2 linked regions of the Arabidopsis thaliana genome follow. The protein of the gene in region 1 interacts with the protein of each later gene in a pairwise test. Each region holds a gene or a part of one and is shown in the gene's direction. Other genes may lie near its edges.

What was found.
Region 2: the proteins of AT4G32440 (region 1) and RTL1 interact in a two-hybrid assay, tested with the Arabidopsis thaliana proteins (one large-scale study listed by BioGRID).

The regions. Positions count from the first base shown.
Region 1 is NC_003075.7:15,653,939-15,662,491, forward strand, and holds AT4G32440 (Plant Tudor-like RNA-binding protein), read left to right. Parts: upstream 1-2,746; 5' UTR 2,747-2,875; intron 2,876-3,329; 5' UTR 3,330-3,356; coding exon 3,357-3,755; intron 3,756-4,019; coding exon 4,020-4,709; coding exon of another isoform or gene 4,710-4,754; exon of another isoform or gene 4,755-5,161; intron 5,162-5,323; coding exon 5,324-5,416; 3' UTR 5,417-6,285; downstream 6,286-8,553. Other genes in the region: AT4G32430 (Pentatricopeptide repeat (PPR) superfamily protein), read left to right, coding at 1-1,335; MEF8S (Pentatricopeptide repeat (PPR) superfamily protein), read left to right, coding at 7,154-8,553.
Region 2 is NC_003070.9:30,311,135-30,317,569, forward strand, and holds RTL1 (RNAse THREE-like protein 1), read left to right. Parts: upstream 1-3,387; 5' UTR 3,388-3,474; coding exon 3,475-3,579; intron 3,580-3,763; coding exon 3,764-3,971; intron 3,972-4,099; coding exon 4,100-4,223; coding exon of another isoform or gene 4,224-4,227; exon of another isoform or gene 4,228-4,306; coding exon 4,307-4,466; 3' UTR 4,467-4,868; downstream 4,869-6,435. Other genes in the region: AT1G80640 (Protein kinase superfamily protein), read left to right, coding at 845-1,007, 1,247-1,417, 1,498-1,739, 1,835-1,967, 2,045-2,108, 2,211-2,307, 2,412-2,493, 2,584-2,699 and 2 more; HA9 (H[+]-ATPase 9), read right to left, coding at 5,093-5,189, 5,275-5,456, 5,538-5,720, 5,795-5,968, 6,046-6,435.

The DNA.
Region 1 (8,553 bases):
AGGTACTCCAAGTGTGGGGTTTTGGAAGCTGTGAAATCAGTGTTTCACCAAATGAGTGAGCGGAATGTTGTCTCTTGGACAACAATGATTTCCTCGAATAAAGACGATGCTGTGTCCATCTTCCTTAATATGCGGTTTGATGGAGTTTACCCTAACGAGGTCACTTTTGTTGGATTAATCAATGCCGTGAAGTGCAATGAGCAAATCAAAGAAGGGCTTAAAATTCATGGGCTATGCATCAAGACAGGCTTTGTTTCAGAACCATCTGTAGGCAACAGTTTCATCACATTGTATGCCAAGTTTGAGGCTCTGGAAGATGCCAAGAAGGCTTTTGAGGATATAACTTTCCGGGAGATTATATCCTGGAATGCTATGATATCTGGATTTGCACAAAATGGATTCTCTCATGAAGCTCTCAAGATGTTCTTATCCGCAGCAGCAGAAACAATGCCGAATGAATACACTTTCGGAAGTGTCTTGAATGCAATAGCTTTTGCAGAGGATATATCTGTAAAGCAAGGTCAGCGTTGCCATGCTCATTTACTGAAATTGGGTTTGAATAGTTGTCCTGTTGTTTCAAGCGCGCTTCTTGATATGTACGCCAAGCGTGGGAACATTGATGAATCTGAGAAAGTCTTTAACGAGATGTCTCAAAAGAACCAATTTGTTTGGACATCGATAATATCAGCCTATTCAAGCCACGGTGATTTTGAAACCGTGATGAACTTGTTCCACAAGATGATTAAAGAAAACGTAGCACCAGACCTAGTCACTTTTCTCTCTGTGTTAACAGCTTGTAATAGAAAAGGAATGGTAGACAAGGGCTATGAGATTTTCAACATGATGATCGAAGTCTACAATCTTGAGCCGTCTCATGAGCATTACTCATGTATGGTTGATATGCTTGGCCGAGCTGGGAGATTGAAAGAAGCAGAAGAGCTTATGAGTGAGGTTCCTGGAGGACCAGGAGAGTCGATGCTTCAGAGCATGCTCGGGTCTTGTAGGCTGCACGGGAATGTGAAAATGGGAGCAAAAGTGGCTGAGCTTGCAATGGAAATGAAACCGGAACTGTCAGGTTCTTACGTTCAGATGTATAACATCTATGCAGAGAAAGAAGAGTGGGATAAAGCTGCAGAGATCAGGAAAGCAATGAGGAAGAAAAACGTAAGTAAAGAAGCTGGATTCAGTTGGATCGATGTTGGTGACACTGAAGGGTCTTTAACGATGCAAGGTTTCTCTTCAGGGGATAAGTCTCATCCAAAATCTGATGAGATTTATAGAATGGTGGAAATTATTGGATTGGAGATGAATTTGGAGGGGAAAGTTGCAGTTTAGGACTCTTACTCAAAGTTCTAAAGAGTTGTAGTTATAGATCAAAAATTAGAAATGTTAGCTATAGATTTACATGAACTCACTGAGTGTATGATTACTTTTATTTTTGCACCTACATACGTGCACATTGATTTTGTAAGGACCATGGTAAACCGGTAAAGCATGGTTCTCTGATTTTGACCTTATTGACCGGTTCGATTGATTAATCCAACGCTACGATCAAAATAGACGACTCTAACTTTTCTAGGTCAACCGTAAAATATATATACTTTAATTTCTACAAATAGTATCTTGAAACTATTAAACTATTTATTAGGTTCGAATTTGGTTGGTATTATTCCCAATCCAAAGGCTAAAATCAAAAAAAAAAAAAAAAGTCAAAATAACAATGGATTTTAACTACAAAAAGTTTCAAGTTTATGGGCCATTTCAAGTTTGAAACTTTTGTTGTTTTTTCTATCTAACGAACTCAAAAAGAGAATATGATGGCTTTAAGGTATGAGTTTGGTGTTGTACTCTTACTCACGTCTCTTTACATTTATCATTGTATAACAAAATAAGATTTTAATAGTAACTTTGAAATGATTCTTAAGCAACTTAAAAAGCGAGAGAAGAGAATGTTTACGTCGTCGATAACCTCATAATGCGGATTATTCTTCCTAACACGTTACCCTCTACGTACCCCACTTGATAAGCCAGTTTACACTTTCCCTTCCAATTTACTTTTTCTAATAAAATACTTTTGTCTTCCGTCGTCAAACAAACAAATGTATGACTTAATAAGTTCTATCAAAATGAACGTTCATATACTCAGCTGATTATAATTGACGCAACTTAAAAAAAACAGAATGAAGACTCATATATTGTAACATGGCTTGTATCAACTATAAATAATATTTGTCTAGAATAAAGACTCCGATGGTGGTTGAAACTTCAAACTAAACCACCCAGGACACAGCTTAACGTATCATTATAAATTAAAGATAGGATAGTACCATACTAGTTAGTAATTTGACTATTTATTAACTACACAAATTTTTAACAGATTTAGAACTTGAGTGTTATACATATTGAAAGTACCTGTAACTTGATTTTATCAAATCAGATTTTAAGTACTTATTAAAGGCTGAAGCATATGAAAATATAAATCAATTTATATATGACTTGTTGAAGCTTTTAAATTAAGGAGCGTATCAAAAAACTTAAAACACACAATTAACGCGCGTGTCCACGCTCTAAGCAAAGCGAGTGAAACATATTAATTTACACAATCGAACCGTCATTAATGTTATGGGTTGTCTCCTATTTCTGGTTTAAAAGAGATATTAACTTAAATCCCACGTCACCAAATATTAAAAATAAAATAAAAATAAACAAATTATATAAATTTCTTAACGCACAATTTGTTGTTTTCCATAATTCCATTTACCCGAAACCCTAATCCCCAATTTCTCTTTCAAGTTTTCGATCACGATCTCTGGAAAATTAAGAGAGAAATTCAAAAACTTCGGGAGTTCAAAGTCTCATTCAGACATTCCAGAAGGTGATCTCTTGTTTCAGTTTTTCTCCCTTTTTGTTGATTGTTTCAATATTGGTGTTTTATCCTTCGATCTCTATGAAAGTTGTTTCAATTGGATCGAGATTCTTCGCTGTTTATTGATTTTACGATACCCTTTTCAATCGTTTGGAAGTTTTTTTGGTTTGTCCTAATTCGAATTATTCTTGCTGTCTGAAGAATCTGTTTGGAAGTAAATTTGGATTAATCTTGCTTAGCTTGTATCTCCTGTGATTGATCGCGATTACGTTGGTTCTTCTTTCTGTTTACGCATAATTTTACTGATTCATCTAAATTTTGTTGCGGCTTTCTTATGATCTGTGTTCCAGAGTTTGTGGATTATTACATCAAACTATATGTTTTTAGAGTTGTTTGTTTTATTAAGAATGTATGATCTTCTGCTTTGGATGTTTGCTCACATATGGATATTTCTCTTTTGCAGGTATTCTAGTCGACTGAGTAAACAATCATGAGAATCAGAAAAGGAAGTAGAGTTGAGGTATTTAGCAACAAAGAGGCGCCTTATGGTGCGTGGCGATGTGCTGAGATTGTCTCGGGTAATGGACATACCTACAATGTTAGATTTTACTCTTTCCAAATTGAACACGAGGAGGCAGTTATGGAGAAAGTTCCAAGGAAGATAATTAGGCCTTGTCCTCCACTTGTGGATGTTGAGAGATGGGATACTGGTGAATTGGTGGAAGTTCTTGATAATTTTTCCTGGAAAGCTGCCACAGTTCGAGAGGAGTTATCTGGACATTACTATGTGGTTCGCTTACTTGGGACTCCAGAAGAACTCACATTTCACAAAGTTAACCTCAGGGCCCGAAAGTCGTGGCAAGATGAGAGATGGGTTGCAATTGGAAAGGTAATTTATTTTCATCCTATATGTTATGCTCTCACTTTTTACATCTAATATACTCTTGTTAATGTCTTTTTTTCTTTTCTTTTCTCCATTAAGATTTCCGGCTTAGTCATGATGTCCCCTCTTCCATTTCTAAGAAGTTCTGGGTCTGGTTGGGGGTGGCAATCTGCATTGTCTTGCTACGATATTGTTTGTTTGAAATGATTTTTTAACTAATGTGCTGATGAGCTTACATGTTGACTAACTGGCTTGTAATCATTTTCTCAGATATCTGGTTCTCTGAAGTCATCCACACTGACTGGATCAGACGTACATCAGAAGCTACAGCCCCACAGGAACAGCATGCCTCTCCACGAGCCTAGCGTGGTCTCTGCTAGATTGTTAAAGAGGCCGTCACCTTACAACTGGTCTGAATGTGCTGAATCATGTACAGGAAACCCTAAGAAGATGCGTTCATTGGAAAAAGAAGGACAGCAGCAAAAGGTAGATGCCATTTCTTGCCGACCAGAAAACAGGGGTGGTAAATCTCACGTGCAAGCTTCCTTAAACAATCACAAAACTGGTTACTGTCAAATTGTCAGGGTAAGATCAAAAGGGTTTAGTGAGAGTGTTCGTGCTGATGATTGTTCTGATAGCGATGTATGCTCAGTTGGTAGTTGTAGTGCTACTAGTTATGATGAGAGTAACATGCCACCTTGTATGCTAGATGGCTCTACTCAACAGGCAGACTCATGTAGCAGCGATGCTGAATCTTCTTGTGGCCTGGGGGAAGAACCAAGGTGGAAACATTCATCAGTTGGTGATGGAGCAAGAAATTCTTGTAGGTCGGAACTATATTCTTACCGCAGTACTCTGGGGGAATTATTTTCTTCTGGTCCCCTAAGTTGGGAGCAAGAAGCATCATTAACTGATCTTCGTCTTTCTCTTAATATATCAGATGATGAACATTTGATGGAGGTAAGAAATTTGATATCTACTGGTACCCGCAGTCAATTTTGTTAGTATCAATCAGAATTCAAATTTTTCTTTTTGATTTCTATGGTCAAGTCTGATCTACCTGTCTTGGATATACTTTCCTGAAATGTGGAATCAACTGTCATATATTGTTCTTTTTCCAGTGGATTTTATAAGTGTATAGACAGCAGATACAAGTATGTATGGAAATTCTGATTAGAATGAAAGTTTCCGAGGTTCTTTTCTATTGCTTTATCAGATTTCCCTTAGATTCCTTTATTGTAATTCCTGGAGGATGTTAAAGCAAAATTCATGTATCGATACTCTGAGATGTCATATTTTGAAGGGCTGTCTTCTGTTCATTAAATCTGTAATATCAATTTTATAGCACGATTTTCTGTTCCTCGTTTCGTGTTAACTTTCCACACTTGTGTGTTGATATACTTGATAACAAGATGGGTCAATCGTATTTTCCTATGTGGATTTTACTTCAGTGCAATATGAAGTCTGAATGTCTCATCTATTGAGTGCTCCTTCCTGTAGCTCTATGAAATGTGTTAGTGTGAGTTTCCTAGTCATTCCTCTGAACAATATTGATTTCCCCCTGCATTTTTCAGGAACAATGTTGCCTTATCCGGGCATGCAGACCTTTTGCTTCTAGAGGTCTAACTCTGATGCTGGGGTTTACACCTTCTCCCTTGACCATCTGAGTGGTGCAATACCATACCTGTTCTCCCTCAAAACATAACTGACTTCTATGCCATTTTTATTTTGTCGCTATCTTGATATTGCGGCTTGTTTCAGGGGCTTCTTTCAGGTGTCCTGGAGTCTACTTTGTCCACAGGGACTGAATGCTGTGGTTTGAGCAGGCTTCCTTATTTGCAGTCTGGTTGGATAATTTTGCTGACATCATGTCAAGTTCTGAGTAATATTTCTTTACACTTTTTCGTTCACTCGATATATGTTGCGGTGCTATCTTTTGTGGTGTTGTGTCTCCTCTGGTTGCTTTCTTAGAAGTGCATGATGTAGATGCTACCATATTTTTACTATTACTAGCTCTCTAAGCCTAATACGTTTAGATGTAGAACACAACGTTGTTTCAGTTACATTGGTTCTATTTTCGGTGTTTTTTCCAGACGCATAGCCTATTGATGCTTATTCTTTCTGGAAATAAGTGTTGTGGCCTACTGAGAGGTAAGTGTGCAATGGCATGAATGGGGTTAATGTAATAGATGCTCATCCAGAAAATGTGTTTGTGATCGGTGTTGATTCGTTATTCTGATTTGTTCTCATGACTTACTTTCATGGAAAATTATCGAGATGAACGGGAACACATGCCTGCTTTCTTACTTAGTTTGTCGCATGTGCATTGTGATCGGAGATTGTCCAAGCTCACTCTTCAGATGTCTCCAGCAAAGGTAGGTTGTTTGCATGGCAGTATGAAACTCTGAAGCAGAATCCATTAATTTTCACAAAGGTATGGATCCTTTTGAAAGATGTGTCGTGGTTCTTCAAAGTTTAACATGTTTTTCTTGAGTAGTTTGCTTGCTTATAGAATCAAAACGAGTTTCGTATCTTCAACCAGACTTTCTTTGGCAATTAGTTACTACTGCTACTTATGCAATGCAACCTCTGGCAATATTGATTGATTTGCGTTATGTTTTAATGGTTATGAAAACTGACTCTTCGATATAAGAACTTGTGAAGTAAAAACTCTATGTGATGAAATTATGAATGCTGAGGATGTTGTTATTACGAGCAATGAGATGTCTTTTTTTAAAAAAAAAAATTTGGTTGCTTGCTTGCAAGAGGACATCTTAGCATCAAATTTGAAACCGAAAGCTGACTCAATTCTGGTAACTACTGGCAGTAACAAGAAAACAAGTCATGAACCTGCAATTTCATTCTAATTCTACACAAGATGCAAATCTCAACTTAAATTCACTTTTAAAACTTGTTATTATTGTAAATTTTTTGAATAATACAGTTGGAAGTAAAAATCCACCGTACCAGTGTACCGGTAACGTGGAAGTATAAACCAATTCGCCAATCTCTTTCTTCCTATCACAATTTAAAGACAGCGACAAAATTAGACGGTTAGAATGCTGAGTTATACCGGGTTATTAAGATAACCTTTGTTTTCGTTAACCGAACAAACGCGACTGAGTTTCACTGGGAAAAAAAAAAAAAGAAGAAGCTTCTTTAGCTTTTGTGACGAATAGGAGGGAACTGAGTTTTAGGTTCGTCTTGATACGGCTTACTCTGTGAATCGAGAAGAAATTGAATTCGTTTTTTTCGTCTTTCTCTGCAAATTAACCCATTTGACTGTTTGTAGTTTCTTTCGCAGATTTATAAAGTTGGTCTTCTTCTCTTCTAATCGGATCGATTCTGCTTCCGGTTAACCGGTTTTGTTCCCCGGCGACAATCAGCAATCTCCTCCCCGGCCAATGATATACACGTTGACGAGAGGTTCGCTTCTCGGCTCTACCTGTAAGCTACGCTACTCTTCTTTATTTTCTTATCTGAGCACAGCTGCGCTGAGATTGGGTTTTGAAAACCCTACTAATGGAAATCCGATGGATAATTCTTCGCATCACATTGGTTATGTAAATGGGTTTAACGGTGGAGAACAATCGCTTGGTGGGTTTCAGCAGAATTCATATGAGCAGAGCTTAAACCCTGTTTCTGGGCAGAATCCGACGAATAGGTTTTATCAAAACGGATACAATCGGAATCAGAGTTATGGGGAACATAGTGAAATTATTAATCAGAGAAATCAAAATTGGCAAAGTAGTGATGGTTGTTCCTCGTATGGAACTACTGGAAATGGAGTTCCACAAGAGAATAATACTGGTGGGAATCATTTTCAGCAAGATCATAGTGGTCATAGCTCGTTGGACGAATTGGATTCGATTTGCAGAGAAGGGAAGGTTAAAAAAGCTGTTGAAATTATTAAATCATGGAGAAATGAGGGTTATGTTGTGGATTTACCTAGACTGTTTTGGATAGCACAGCTTTGTGGAGATGCACAAGCTTTACAAGAAGCCAAAGTTGTTCATGAGTTTATTACTTCTTCGGTTGGGATTTCAGATATCAGCGCTTACAACTCGATAATCGAAATGTACTCTGGTTGTGGTTCTGTGGAAGATGCATTAACCGTTTTCAATAGTATGCCTGAGAGAAACTTGGAGACTTGGTGTGGTGTTATAAGGTGTTTTGCAAAGAATGGGCAAGGGGAAGACGCCATTGATACGTTCTCTCGGTTTAAACAAGAAGGAAACAAACCTGATGGTGAAATGTTTAAAGAGATCTTCTTTGCGTGTGGTGTTCTTGGTGACATGAACGAGGGACTGTTGCACTTTGAGTCCATGTACAAAGAGTATGGAATTATCCCTTGTATGGAACATTACGTGAGCCTCGTTAAAATGTTGGCGGAGCCTGGTTATTTAGATGAAGCCTTGAGATTTGTTGAATCGATGGAACCAAATGTAGATTTGTGGGAAACCCTGATGAATCTATCACGGGTTCATGGGGATTTAATTCTTGGCGACCGGTGTCAAGATATGGTTGAGCAGCTTGATGCAAGTAGACTGAACAAAGAGTCAAAGGCGGGTCTTGTACCTGTGAAATCATCAGACCTAGTAAAAGAGAAATTACAAAGAATGGCCAAAGGGCCAAATTATGGGATTCGATATATGGCAGCTGGAGATATTTCTCGTCCAGAAAACAGAGAGTTGTATATGGCATTGAAGAGTTTAAAGGAGCATATGATAGAAATTGGTTATGTACCTCTATCTAAACTTGCATTGCACGACGTGGACCAAGAGAGCAAAGACGAAAACCTTTT
Region 2 (6,435 bases), on another chromosome or scaffold:
GGGAGTGACCCAATCGAATCATTTGGATTACTGTGCCTCGATGCAAACAACTCTATCGAGAGATTACACAATCCATTCTCAATCCATATTCTTTCCATATATCACACCATTTTATTAATCTGATTAAAAATAATAATTTCTTTTACGACAAGATGTATTTTTTTTTTCTTGGAAATTAAAAGACTAAACTTATGAATATGAAGGAACATTAAAAACACCATTTATGTAATTGGATTGTACTTTGATTGCTTTATGTACTTTCTTTGTATTCTTGATTTTTCTAATTTAATAAAGATATAGTATAACTATACGTTAAAGAAAAAGGAACAAGGCTTTAATTAATAGATAAAAATCTGTTAGCTTTACGTATAAAAGGTTTAATTCTATTTGTCAACTAGTAGTATCAGCATCATCTCTAACATTGGGATGTTAAATTGTTGTAATGGTAGAGAGAAAATCAAAATTTTAAAGATTGGCTAATGGGAAGAAACTGTTTTGCTAACTACACATCCTCCTCCTCACTCTCTCCACAACTCCACGTCTTATCACCACGTCTGGGATTAGGCACTCTTTGCTGCTTTATTAGCCTTTTTGTCCACCTTTTCATAACTGCCACATGAAGACCAAACACCTAAAACCTTTGTCCTTCTCTCTCTCTGTTTCCCAACTCCAACAGTGTCTCTTGTCTACATCTCCTCCAGACAAAGATAATCTCTAGCATTTTTCACCATCTCCATAAAAGAATTAGATAGAACACGAAGCAGCTTCGTACTCTTTATCTCTCTCTCTCTCTCTTTTTGTCTTTTCTCTGCATATTTGTTGATACCAGACAACAAAATTAAATATGTGTCTCCTTCGTCATTTGCTACCCATTTGGGTTCTTCTTGGTTTCTTCTTCTTCTCCACTGCTACTAAATCACAAGAATCTTCCGTTGTCTACGTTTCTGGTGCTTCCCCCGAAATCCCCATTTCTCAGGCTTCTCCACGAATGGGAGCTCAATCCCCAGGTACTTATTAGTTTCCCCTTTCCAAATTTTCTCCATGTTGCCCCTAAGAACAAAAATATCAATATTTGGTGATTGGGTCTTACTAGTTCTTGAAATTGTCGAAATGTGTTTGCTCATACTTTCATAAAGGAATTGAATTTAGTTGAATTGATACTGTTTCCCAATTAAAACTGAAAACTTTCCGATAATTAAGCAAATAAATTGAATTTTATCCCTTATTTAAATTTAACTTTGCTCAGGACCTCCCATTGTTAAAGTGGTGCTTCGCCAGGACTTGAACAAGAAGATTCTAATTGCTCTTATAGTCTCATCATCTCTGCTCTGTGTCACAGTCATGTTCCTTGTGTATCTCTTGCTATGGAGGTACAGGAATATGAAGAACAGCTTCACCGGTATCAAACGCAAATCCGGTATTCAATTCTATCTCTTTATATTTTTGTAATTTCCTTGGTTTTGTTATGGCTTATTTTGGTGCTTTGGTTATCTGAAGATTCGGTGAAGAGTGTAACCACGAAACCGACTGTACACAAGATTGATTCTGTGAGGAAAGGAACCATCCCTGTGTATGAATATCAATTGCTGGAATCTGCAACAAACAAGTTTAGTGATAGTAATGTGTTGAGCCGAGGTGGTCGTGGATGCCTTTACAGAGCTTGTCTCGATGAAAAATCCTCAGTCACTGTGAAGAAACTTGATGGCGGTGGGGAGACAGACATTGAAAAACAGTTTGAGGTTTGACCCCTAAGATGATTATACAGAATCGCACCATCTCATTCGATAAACCATAACTCGGTTTTTTGCTTTCTCTTGTTGATTTTCTAATGCAGACTGAAGTAGATTGGTTGGCTAAGATCAGGCATCAGAACATAGTTTCCTTATTGGGGTTTTGCGTATATCGGCAAACGAGTTGTATTGTGTATGAGTTGATGCAGAATGGATCTTTGGAGAGTCAGTTACATGGTAAGGGGATATGATCCATGTTTGTTCCATCTTTTGTCATCTGATTTTGATTTTGTTGTGCTTTTGAATGCTCTAAGGGCCTAGTCAAGGTTCAGGTTTAACTTGGCAGCTCAGGATGAAGATAGCGGTTGATATAGCGAGGTAAAGTCCATTCATTGATAATACTTTCAAACATTTAGTAGTTCCATGTGATCTCCAAGAACATATATTTGTATGCTTACAAAGTATTCTTTTTTCATAAAGAGGATTAGAGTATCTTCACGAGCATTGCCATCCTCCTGTAGTTCACAGAGATTTGAAATCATCTAGCATCCTTCTGGACTCCGATTTCAATGCAAAGGTAAAAGAGAAAATGATATAATGTAGAAAATTCTTCTTAGACTTATTGTATTCTCCATACAATATGAGTCTTAAGGATCTGTTGCCACATTTGCTTCTCTTTAGATATCCGATTTTGGGTTTGCCACGGTTTTGACCACGCAGAATAAAAACCTGATACACAAGGCTTCTGAGGATCTTCTTGATGGTAAGGAGTTAATCTTTTTTCGGGGTTCGATCTTGACATATATGCCAAACGAGATGCTCAAATTTCGACCATTCTGTAATCATCTTTCAGGGAAAGTTACAGACAAGAATGATGTCTACTCATTTGGAGTGATCCTGCTCGAACTTCTCCTCGGGAAGAAATCAGTGGAGAAACCGTCTTCTGAACCAGAATCCATCGTTACTTGGGTACATAATAAAACTTTCACGAGATAGTGGCTTCGTTTAGCAGGAAATCCTCTGACTTGTGATCTTTGTTGATCATCAGGCAGTACCTAAGCTGAGTGATAGAGCTAATCTACCAAACATATTGGATCCTGCAATCAAAGGAACCATGGATTTGAAGCATCTATATCAGGTAAAAAAGCTTCAACAAAATCTCACACAGATTTTACGAAAAACACATTAGCCAAATATAGAAGGAAAAAGATTCCTCTTTGAACTTTGTGTTATATTTTCTTTGGACAGGTAGCTGCGGTGGCGGTGTTGTGTGTACAGCCGGAGCCAAGTTACAGACCACTTATAACCGATGTCTTGCACTCACTCATCCCTCTTCTACCAGTAGAACTCGGTGGATCATTGCGGATTTTATAAAAAAACATTTCCCCTTTCTTTTTTTTTTTCTTGTAACAGATCAATGCGTTTATGAATTTGTCTCTTATGTTGGTTCTTCCGGAGAATTTATTGTTGTATGTTTAATCACTGCTACAAAAAATTCGGAAGTTTTGCTTAAATGGAACCGAGAGACAAGTTAGTAGAGTTTGGTTAGTAAAAGTTAAAGGTTTAAAAGCTTTAACATATAAATAAATAAAAACGTTGACTTTTTATAACAGAGTTTGTTGTTGTGGGGAAATGAATTAATTAATGAACCTTATCCGTTTTGTCGATGATCGATAAAATTTTCAATTTCTCGATTCCCAAAGAAAGATATCTGGGAATTAGACAAGGAGTAGTAATATGAAAGATGGAGGATCAGGAAACGAAGCGGATAACCAAAAAACCGTCAAGATCGATCATCATCAGTCTCAAAGATATTCCTCCTCTCGACCCTTCTTCTATTCCCTCTATGGTAAATATTCATTCACTCCAACCATATTCTCTTCTTTCTCGCTAACAAAAAAATTGATCATCTGGGTTTGAAACAGAGAACAATCTCTGCGTTTTCTATTTGTAGATGATTCTTCTTCTGTGATTTGGCTATATCATGGGTTAATAGTAATAAATATCTCAACTTTGCTTCTGTCAATTGTTAGAAACCAATGGCGCAAGATCATCATAATGTGGGAATGCAGAGATTCCAAGAGAAGACTGACTTCAAGTTTGAAGAAGAAGACAATGCCATTTCTTCCTTCTCTAACATTCAAATTGATCCTAACAGCACAAGAAGCATTTCACTAGAGAAGAAGCTTGCTCCTAAACCAGATGAAGAACACACCACCACCACCAAACCCATATCTAAAGGTTCATTCATTTTTTCTTCACCTCTTTTGCTAATTATGATGTAAACTTGTTCGGAAACCAACAGAGATTGCAATTTTTGGTATAGAAGATAGAATTTTGGTCATTTTGTTCTGAAATTTGTGTTCCAGATGATGAATCTAAGACTAGGAGAGGCTCAGCTAAATCGGTGTTACACGAAATGTGTGCTTCCAAGCGTTGGAGACCTCCTGTTTATGAATGCTGCAATGTTGATGGACCTTGCCATTTGAGATTGTAAGTAAACATCTTCTAACCTGCACTTGCTTTTATTTTTTGAGTCGCAATCTTTTTTGCATCAACTTGGTTTTTTGGTTCAGATTTACATACAAAGTTATGGTTGAGATTAGAGATTCTTCAGGGAAAACTGTTTTGGAGTGTTTTGGGGATCCCAGACGCAAAAAGAAAGCTGCTGCTGAGCATGCAGCAGAAGGAGCGCTTTGGTATCTTGAGCATGTGAAGACAAAGCCGCATCAGTAAATCATCATTTAGTCGATATGAAGTAGCTGGAGAGTTTAGTAAAGCCATCTATAGTTAGTTCTAACGAGGGAAGCTTGAACCATATTATACCTATCTTTTAATTCATTATAGCTCTATGGGTTGTAACAGTTTTGATCTGTATCAGAACTTTTCTTTCAAACTTTGTGCCATTATATTTCTCCTTAGTAAGGAGCCTTTATCTTTATCTTTATGTTTATGGAATAGAAGAGCTCAAGTCATCCAAGTTAGAGAAAGCTTTGGAGACTTTGTCTGGTTAGACTGAAGGAGGGAATTCAGTTCAGTGAGATTTGAAACACTGATTTTTCTCATTTGCAACTAAGATTTGAGCATTCTTTTTTTTTTTGGTTTTGTTGCATTCTCTCTTGCGCGGACAGAGACTAGAAGAAACTTACTCAAGAATTCTAAGTAATTGTAAGATCTTATTACTCTTGTAAAAAAGGAAAAAACAAGAATATCTCAAAAATATAAAAAAAGAAGAAGCCACATCCACTGCTAACAAAAGAAACAATTTTCTTTTTGCAGCATTCTCTAATTATGGAAGTGGTTATTTATTCAATACTCTTGTGGGGTTCTAAAACTAAACTGAGAAACACTTGTTTCTGAAATCACAGGGTATAGTGTTGCTGGATAGCCTCAATGTCTAGTCCCTTCTGCTTCACTACTGATTCCACGTGACCTTTCAAGGTGTGACGTTCCCTTAACCTGAAATTTACAAGACAAGAAATGTTTGTAAGCCCATTTTCTGAGGAACCTAATGGTATGGAATAATCAGTTACTTGAGCGTTGCCTTGCAACTTCAGCTCGTCTCTTGGCTTGATCAGCTATCTCTGAAAGCTCTCTGTAAGTGCTCTTGTCATTGAACATATCTGAGGTTTGAGCTGGCTGCAATCCGTGAAGTGTACGTTGCGCTTGTGCCCATTGTGCTTCTCTCTCTCCCTTTCCGTAGTCTTTCTTTGACGTGAAAGCGGTCTGAACAGAGGAACAAAGGTTAGGAAAAAGGATTATACTACTGTGTTCTTGTTCTCATCAGTATTGGCCTGAGAAGCAAACCTTGTTCTCAATGACATTATCCCATGCTCTTCCACTCAGTGAATATCTGATGATGAACTTGAGGATATCCAATGGGATGTAGAAGACTATACTATAGAGCCAGATAACTCCTGCCCATCCCCACCCAATACCTCTGATTCTTGCAAAATTCCAGTTTGCGTATACCGCAATCAAAGTAGCAATCTTGGAATGAAAACAACAACAGTGTCAGTATATACTGAAGCTTCTTATGTAAGAGTACTGAATCTTTAACTTACCAGCTGAGCCATGAAAAAGGCAGAGATCAACCAGAAGCCAGGACGTTCAACATATGACCAGCTTCGCGACCTTGTTACAAAGATAAGCGCTTGGCTCACGATACTAACTTGTAGGTAAACAGCTGCTGTTAGCTCATGCGGATTTCCACTGATAGATCTCACCCCAAACTTTGCCTGCACCAAGAGAAAACTGAAGATCAACACATACACTTACTCGAGCTGGTCATAAAAGTAAGATAGAACTCTCTTACAGAGAAGAAGTCAGTGCTCTCTGCAGCCCAGAAGAAAACTACAGTCATGACTGCTAGGTAAGTGCCAAGAACAACGCCGGTGGCAAATATCTCTTTGAGTTTCCATGAATCAGGAAGTGGAGAAGGCTTTACTCTGTCCTTTGATATCGTCATGATAGTACCATCATTCAGGATAGCAACGATCAAGACCATGAATGGTGAGAAGTCAAACTTCCATATGAGTGCAAGAAGCATAAATCCCATCACTATACGGATTGTGATTGAAACTGCATAGATTGTGTAGTTCTTCATTCTCTGGAAGATGGCTCTGCTCGTTAGGACAGCACTAACTATGACACTAAGCCCTGGCTCGGTTAGTACAATGTCAGATGCACTTCTTGCTGCATCAGT